2 linked regions of the Macaca fascicularis genome follow. The protein of the gene in region 2 interacts with the protein of the main gene of each other region in a pairwise test. Links are inferred from orthologs where the notes say so. Each region holds a gene or a part of one and is shown on either strand. Other genes may lie near its edges. The genes, in order: PRDX1 and GAPDH.

Evidence for each region.
Region 1: the proteins of GAPDH (region 2) and PRDX1 interact in a two-hybrid assay, tested with the Homo sapiens proteins (2 studies listed by BioGRID and IntAct, with this or other methods). The link is inferred for Macaca fascicularis from reciprocal best matches to the Homo sapiens genes GAPDH and PRDX1.

Annotation. Positions count from the first base shown.
Region 1 is NC_088375.1:189,206,364-189,210,170, reverse strand, and holds part of PRDX1 (peroxiredoxin-1), read right to left. Parts: intron 3,502-3,807; coding exon 3,379-3,501; intron 3,143-3,378; coding exon 3,012-3,142; intron 152-3,011; coding exon 66-151; 3' UTR 1-65. UniProt on the Homo sapiens protein: Thiol-specific peroxidase that catalyzes the reduction of hydrogen peroxide and organic hydroperoxides to water and alcohols, respectively.
Region 2 is NC_088385.1:7,455,313-7,459,219, forward strand, and holds the start of GAPDH (glyceraldehyde-3-phosphate dehydrogenase), read left to right. Parts: upstream 1-1,510; 5' UTR 1,511-1,655; intron 1,656-1,827; 5' UTR 1,828-1,844; coding exon 1,845-1,873; exon of another isoform or gene 1,874-2,381; intron 2,382-3,181; exon of another isoform or gene 3,182-3,522; coding exon of another isoform or gene 3,523-3,548; coding exon 3,549-3,648; intron 3,649-3,729; coding exon 3,730-3,836; intron 3,837-3,907. UniProt on the Homo sapiens protein: Has both glyceraldehyde-3-phosphate dehydrogenase and nitrosylase activities, thereby playing a role in glycolysis and nuclear functions, respectively.

The sequences.
Region 1 (3,807 bases), on a different chromosome or scaffold from region 2:
AAATACAGAAGAGGTTTTGTTCTCATGGCTGCCCACTGCAGCCTGGCACTAAAACAGCCCAGCGCTCACTTCTGCTTGGAGAAATATTCTTTGCTCTTTTGGACATCAGGCTTGATGGTATCACTGCCAGGTTTCCAGCCAGCAGGGCACACTGCAAAAGAAAGGTACCACTAATTAATAACCTTCTCAATGGTATGCACCACCATTCTCCTATGGACAAAACCAGTTCTGCACCCTAAAGAGCCTGAACACTCAGATACCAGGAAACCTACCCCTGCAATCGGTCTAAGATCATTCAGCCTTTTAGTGTAACCTAACTATTTTACAAACATTATATAATCATCACCACAGCCTTAAGATACTATTATGCCTAATTTATTCATGTAGCACTTAAAATTTAAATTTTCCACAAAAAAGGCAAGTTTAAATGATTTGCCAACACTCTCTAGTCCTTAAGGGAAAAAAAAAAAGCTAAGTAAATGATACACATAGAACTATGTAAACCCTTAACACTAAACTGTTTCCCTCTGACAGCCTTTCAGAACTCTGAAGGCAGCAACCTCAGTCTGCCTTCTCAGCATTCTTCTAACGCTACCAAACTGGAAAGCCTGAACCTTATAAAGGATCAAGAACTTAATAGAAGCCCCTGCTTGTTTCATTAAGTAACTGCCATCTACCCCTCGGTAAGCAAAAGGCAAAGTTTGAGATTTTTCGTGAATGTATACAGAAAGCACAGCCTTCAACCTTTTCCTGACAATGCCTAAGAATGTGTCTCAGGCTAGCCTGAAGAAAGTGAGGCAAGGGGACTAATCTCTCATTTTTCTTTTTCTTTTTTTGAGATGGAGTCTCGCTGTGTTGCCCAGGCTGGAGTGCAGTGGCGTGATCCCCACCTCTCTCTGCAACCTTGGTCTCCCAGGTTCAAGCAATTCTCCTGCATAAGCCTCCCAAGTAGCTGGGATTACAGGCGCCTGCCACCGCACCCGGCTAATTTTTGTATTTTTAGTAGAGATGGGGTTTCACGATGTTGGCCAGGCTGATCTCAAACTCCTGACCTCAGGTGATCTGCCTGCCTCGGCCTCCCAAAGTGCTAGGATTACAGGCGTGAGCCACCGCACCTGGCCTGATTTTTCCACTACCATGTGCTGTCATATTCTACGAGACATGTAATCAAAGTCCAGCAGGAGCAGCAAGAGTCTCAATTGCTCAAGTGAGACATAGGGAGGCCCCTCTTTGGTCCAAGGATATCATAACCTCAAATATCAAGACTCTACAAACAGCTCTCTAGGCATAAGGTACAGATGGAACAAGAGCTAAATAGAAGGACAAGCTGCCATTATTTTCCTAAAATCTCCATCTGATTGTTAGTTATTGGCTTTAGTGATATCAAAGGGTTACAATACAGGTCCTAAAGATAAACAAGTTGGAAAGAACAGCATAAAAGCAAATAAATACCAGCCTGGCCAACATAATGAAACCCCGTCTCTACTAAAAATATAAAAAATTAGCTGGGCGTGGTGGTGAGCGCCTATAATCCCAGGTACTCGGGAGGCTGAGGCAGGAGAATTGCTTGATGCAGAGGTTGCAGTGAGCTGAGATCATACCACTGCACTCTAGCCTGGATGACAGTGCGAGACTCCATCTCAAAAAAACAAGTGTTTGGCAGCCGGGCACAGTGGTTCACGCCTATAATCCCAGTGCTTTGGGAGGCCAAGGCGGAGGACTGCTTGAGCTTGAGCTCAGGAGTTCTGAGACCAGCCTGGCCAACATGGCAAAATCGCATCTCTACAAAACATACAAAAATTAGTGGGGCATGGTGGTGGGCCCCTGTAGTCCTAGCTACTCAGGAAGCTGATGCTAGAGAATTGCTTGAACCCAGGAGGTGGTGGCTGCAGTAAGCCGAGATCACACCACTGCACTCCAGTCTGGGCAACAAAACAAGATTCTGTCTCAAAAAAAAAAAAAAAAAAAAAAAAAAATATATATATATATATAGTGTTTGGCATTCATAGGCTCTTGAATGGTGCCTATTTAAGAAGCTGTACATGTTCCAGTGGGATGGGAAGCAGAAGAGACCAATAGAGTCTGAAGAAGCAAGCTTCTGAGTCATGAAAGCTTGTGTTCGGGAGACTAACCTGTATGTAGGTTCCCAGGAAAGTCCAGTTAAAGGGCCTACTTTGCCACTGCCGGCTCCTTCTTAATGCTGAACCTCATCTCCCACAAAGGGGCAGTCTCAGCAGGTGTCAGCTGAGCCATGTGTTATCTGTCCAGGCTAATTGCCCACACATCCTTCTGAAAAGGGTACCTCCTGGTTATCAGTGCTCACTGATCCCTATATAATCAGACTCTTACAGGGATTAAAAAGTAATCCCTGTAAAAAGATTATTTGGTGCTAGCCAAACTAGCACCTTTGGGTCTTCCCAAACATACACCACTAATCCAGACTCTAGTCACTAAACTTCATTTTCTTTAAATTACAAGATCAGAGCTAAAATGGGCCTTAGAAAGCTAGTCTGGGCTGGGCGCGATGGCTCATGGGAGGTGGAGGTCACAGTGAGCCAAGACTGCGCCACTGCACTCTAGCCTGGGCAACAGAGCAAGACTCTGTCTTGCAAAAAATAAATAAATAAATAAATACAAATATGAACTATATGGATTAACCTCTTCTCTCAACAGTTATTTTTTAAATGGCATGCTTCATCTCTAGATGTGATTCCCAACCATTTTGTTTTGCCCTAATACATCTGTGAGATCATCCTACATTAAGTTAGATCTTTAGGAGTGACTGATTCTAAATGAGCAGGGCAGAAGAGAGGAGTATGTACACTTCGAATAAAAAGTCTTTATATTCTCCTTCCCAAGCTTTTCCATTACCCTCACCCTCACATACTGTAATCCAGGGGCTTCAATATCTTGAAGAGAAATACCCCTTTTCTTATTAGGTAGCTTCTGTTCCTACTATCTTTCCCATTCTACCACCACTCTGTTATCCTTTTATCAGACAGATGGCTTACCTTCCCCATGTTTGTCAGTGAACTGGAAGGCCTGAACTAGTCTCAAAGTCTCATCCACAGAGCGGCCAACAGGGAGGTCATTTACAGTGATCTGCCGAAGAATACCCTTATCATCAATGATAAAGAGGCCCCTGGGAAAAGAGATGAAAGGAAAAGCAATACAGGTTTAAAGATGTGCTTTGTTAGAATACAGAAGCTTGAAGTCTTAAGGAAATGAACTGGTCTCCACATTCATACTGGCCTGGCCTTAGTGAGAAGGCCCCTGCATAAAGGAATGAAATGATGAAGGAGTCTCTACAGATCAGGGCTCTAGATTTCTCCAAATAAAAGGCTTTCAGCCAACTGGGTACTTGTCCTGATGACATACCTGAATGAAATGCCTTCATCAGCCTTTAAGACCCCATAATCCTGAGCAATGGTGCGCTTCGGGTCTGATACCAAAGGAATGTTCATGGGTCCCAGTCCTCCTTGTTTCTTAGGTGTGTTGATCCTACGGCAAAAGGCAAACACAGTTACATTCAAACTCTTGACTTAACTGTACCTATTCCTCTTTCCCCCTTTCCCATATTCCTAATCTAACTTTCCAAAAAAACTGTTTTTTTCCTTTTCCAGCAATAAAGTGAATGCTGAGAACAGTTAAGGTAGGTTACTAGGGTACACTCAACTGCAACTGAAGCTGCTGCTTCTCTGCTGCCAGGTCATGAGCAGTAAGAGAAAGTCAGACTTTGCACTTCTTCCATGAGAAGCCAATACTTGAAAGTCTATTGCCAAAGCTTCCCAGTTGCTGTTTTAAAAG
Region 2 (3,907 bases):
CACCATTAAGGACCCTCTTGCCTTGCTCTTGCTACTCTGCTCTGGGTGGTCATTGTGAAAAGCCCGCACCAACCATGCCAATGGCAGCCAGACGAGGACACAGCCTGGTTCTGGGTCCCAGGAGGAAAGGCAATCCCAGAAAGGCAGGGACAAGGACTGGAGTCCTGTGGGTGCCTTTTAAGCAAAGATTATCACCAGGCGGGCTAAACTTAGCAAACGGCTTTTAGCTAGAAGGGCAGGGGGCTGGTGTCAGGTTATGCTGGGCCAGCAAAGAGGCCCAGGATCCCCCTCCCATGCACCTGCTGATGGGCCAAGGCCACCCCACCCCACCCCCTTCCTTACAAGTGTTCAGCACGCTCCCATCCCACACTCACAAACCTGGCCCTCTGCCCTCCTACCAGAGAAATGGATACCCTGTGGGAAGGGGCAGGGGGCCTGTTCCCACCATGTGCCCAAGACCTCTTTTCCCACTTTTTCCCTCTTCTTGACTCACCCTGCCCTCAATATCCCCCAGCGAAGCCAGTGAAGGGGAGTCCCTGGCTCCTGGCTCGCCTGCACGTCCCAGGGCGGGGAGGCACTTCCGCCCTCACGTCCCGCTCTTCGCCCCGGGCTGGATGGAGTGAAAGGCACACTGTCTCTCACCCTAGGCAGCACAGCCCACGGGGCTCCAGGAGTGACTTTGTGGGAGGCCTCTGGGCCCCCACCAGCCATCCTGTCCTCCGCCTGGGGCCCCAGCCCGGGGAGAGCCGCTGGTGCACACAGGGCCTGGATTGTCTGCCCTAATCATCAGGTCCAAGCTACAGGGCTGCAGGACATCGTGACCTTCCGTGTAGAAACCTCCCCCTCAAGCCGCCTCCCGAGCCTCCTTCCTCTCCAGGCCCCCACTGCCCAGTGCCCAGGCCAGGCCTCGGTCCCAGAGAGGCCAGGAGCCAGGAGATGGGGAGGGGGAAGTGGGGGCTGGGAAGGGCCCACGGGCCCCTCCTAGCCCTTTGCTTCAGCTATTCCGGTGTCACTACCGCAGAGCCTCGAGGAGAAGTTCCCCAACTTTCCCGCCTCTCAGCCTTTGAAAGAAAGGGGAGGGGGCAGGCCGCGTGCAGCCGCGAGCCGTGCAGGGCTCGGGCTCCAATTCCCCATCTCAGTCGCTCCCAAAGTCCTGTTTCATCCGTGCGTGTAAGGGCCCCCGTCCTTGACTCCCTAGTCTCCTGCTGCCCACACTCCAGTCCTGGGAAGCAGCACCGATCACCTCCCATCGGGCCAGTCTCAGTCCCTTCCCCCCTCCGTCGGGGCCCACACGCTTGATGCGTGCCCAGTTGAACTAGGCGGCTGCGGAAAAAAAAAAAGAGCAGGGAGAAAGCAGGGCCCCGCTACTCGCGGTTTTACGGGCGCACGTAGCTCAGGCCTCAAGTCCTTGGACTGGGACTGGCTGAGCCCGGCGGGAGGCGGGGTCAGAGTCACCGCCTGCCGCCGCGCCCCCGGGTTTCTATAAATTGAGCCCGCAGCCTCCCCCTGCGCTCTCTGCTCCTCCTGTTCGAGAGTCAGTCGCATTTTCTCTTGCATCGCCAGGTGAAGACGGGCGGAGAGGAGCCCGGAGGCTAGGGACGGGCCTGAAGGCGGCAGGAGCGGGCGTGGGCCGGACGTGTTCGCGCCGCTGCGGGGTGGGCGCGGGCCAGGGTCCGGGTCCGGGCCCGGGCTGCCTCCGCATTGCAGGGGCGGGCGGAGGACGTGATGCGGCGCGGGCTGGGCATGGAGGCTGGTGGGGGGAGGGGAGGGGAGGCGTGGGTGTCGACCGGGACCACTAGGCGCTCACTGTTCTCTCTCTCCGCGCAGCGCATCCCTGAGACACCATGGGGAAGGTGAAGGTCGGAGTCAACGGGTGAGTTCGTGGGTGGCTGGGGGGCCCTGGGCCGCCCGCAAACTGCGTCTACGAGCCTTGCGGGCTCCGGGTCTTTGCTGTCGTATGGGGTAGGGTAGCTGCGTCCGGCAAGGAGAGCTCAAGGTCAGCGCTCGGACCTGGCGGAGCCCCGCACCCAGGCTGTGGCGCCCTGTGCAGCTCCGCCCTTGCGGCGCCATCTGCCCGGGGCCTGCCTTCCCTAGTCCCCAGGACAGGAGGTCCCTACTCCCGCCCGAGATTCCATCCGACCCGGACCCCTAGCTGGGGACGCTTTCTTTCCTTTCGCGCTCTGCGAGGTCACGTGTCGCAGAGGAGCCCCTCCCCCATGGCCTCCGGCACCGCAGGCCCCGGGATGCTAGTGCGCAGCGGGTGCATCCCAGTCCGGAGGCTGCGCCTGCGGTAGAGCGGCCGCCATGTTGCAACCGGGAAGGAAATGAATGGGCCGCCGTTAGGAAACCCTGCCGGTGACTAACCCTGCGCTCCTGCCTCGGTGGGTGGAGTCGCGTGTGGCGGGGAAGTCAGGTGGAGCGAGGCTTCCCGGCCCCTGCTCTCAAGTCGGCCCCTGAGCTGCAAGCCCTATTTCCCCTCCGGGTGATGCTTTTTCTAGATAATTCTCTGGTAAATCAAAGAAGTGGGTTTATGGAGGTCCTCCTGCGTCCCCTCCCTCCAGAGGTGTGGTGGCTGTGGCTTGGTGCCAAGCCGGGGGGAGCTGAGTCATCGGTAGTTGGAAAAGGACATTTCCACCGCAAAATGGCCCCTCTGGCGGTGGCCCCTTTCTGCAGCGGCGGCTCACCTTATGGCCCCCTCTTCCCCTGCCAGCCTAGCGTTGACCCCCCACCCCAAAGGCCAGGCTGTAAATGTCACCCGGAGGATTGGGTGTCTGGGAGCCTCGGGAAACCTGCCCTTCTCCCCATTCCGTCTTCCAGAAACCAGATCTCCCACCGCACCCTGGTCTGAGGATAAATATAGCTGCTGACCTTTCTGTAACTGGGGGCCTGGGCTTGGGCCGTCTCCCATCCCTTCTCCCACACACATGCACACACCTGTGCTCCCACTCCTGAATTCTGGAAAAGAGCTAGGAAAGGACTGGAAGCTTGCAAATTAAAGCCCTGGGACTAGGGGGTTAAAAAACAACTTCCCCTCTTCCCCCGGCCCAATCTCTGTCCCTTTTGTAGGCGGGACTTAGAGAAGGGGTGGGCTTGCCCTGTCCAATTAATTTCTGACCTTTACTCCTGCCCTTTGAGTTTGGTGATGCTGAGTGTACAAATCTTTTCTCCTTAAACGGTGCAGTTTGAAGCTGAGCTAGGCAGCAGCAAGCATTCCTGGGGTGGCATAGTGAGGTGCTGAATGCCACGTGCAAAGCTTGTGCCCAGACTGTGGGTGGCAGTGCCCCACATGGCCGCTTCTCCTGGAAGGGCTTCCTATGACGGGGGGTGTTAGGCAGCAGTGGAGCCTTCAGTTGCAGCCATGCCGTAAAGCCAGGCCAGCCTGGCAGGGGAGCTCAAGGGAGATACAATTCACCTCTTAATGGAGGTAAGGAGATGCTGGGGGTAAGGAGATGCTGCATTCGCCCTCTTAATGGAGAGGTGTCCTAGGGCAGCTCACATACTGTGGAGAAGCCTCCTCTCCTCATGCCTTCTTGCCTCTTGTCTCTTAGATTTGGTCGTATTGGGCGCCTGGTCACCAGGGCTGCTTTTAACTCTGGTAAAGTGGATATTGTTGCCATCAATGACCCCTTCATTGACCTCAACTACATGGTGAGTGCTGCCCCAAAGCTGATGTGGGAGGAGCCACCTGGCTGCCAGGCAGCCCCTTCACACCCTTGCGTATTCCCCCAGGTTTACATGTTCCAGTATGATTCCACCCATGGCAAGTTCCATGGCACCGTGAAGGCTGAGAACGGGAAGCTCGTCATCAATGGAAGCCCCATCACCATCTTCCAGGAGTGAGTGGAAGGCAGTGGGAGAAATGTGCTGTGGGGGGCAGCTAGGGTGGTGCGGCTCCCTTGGGTACATG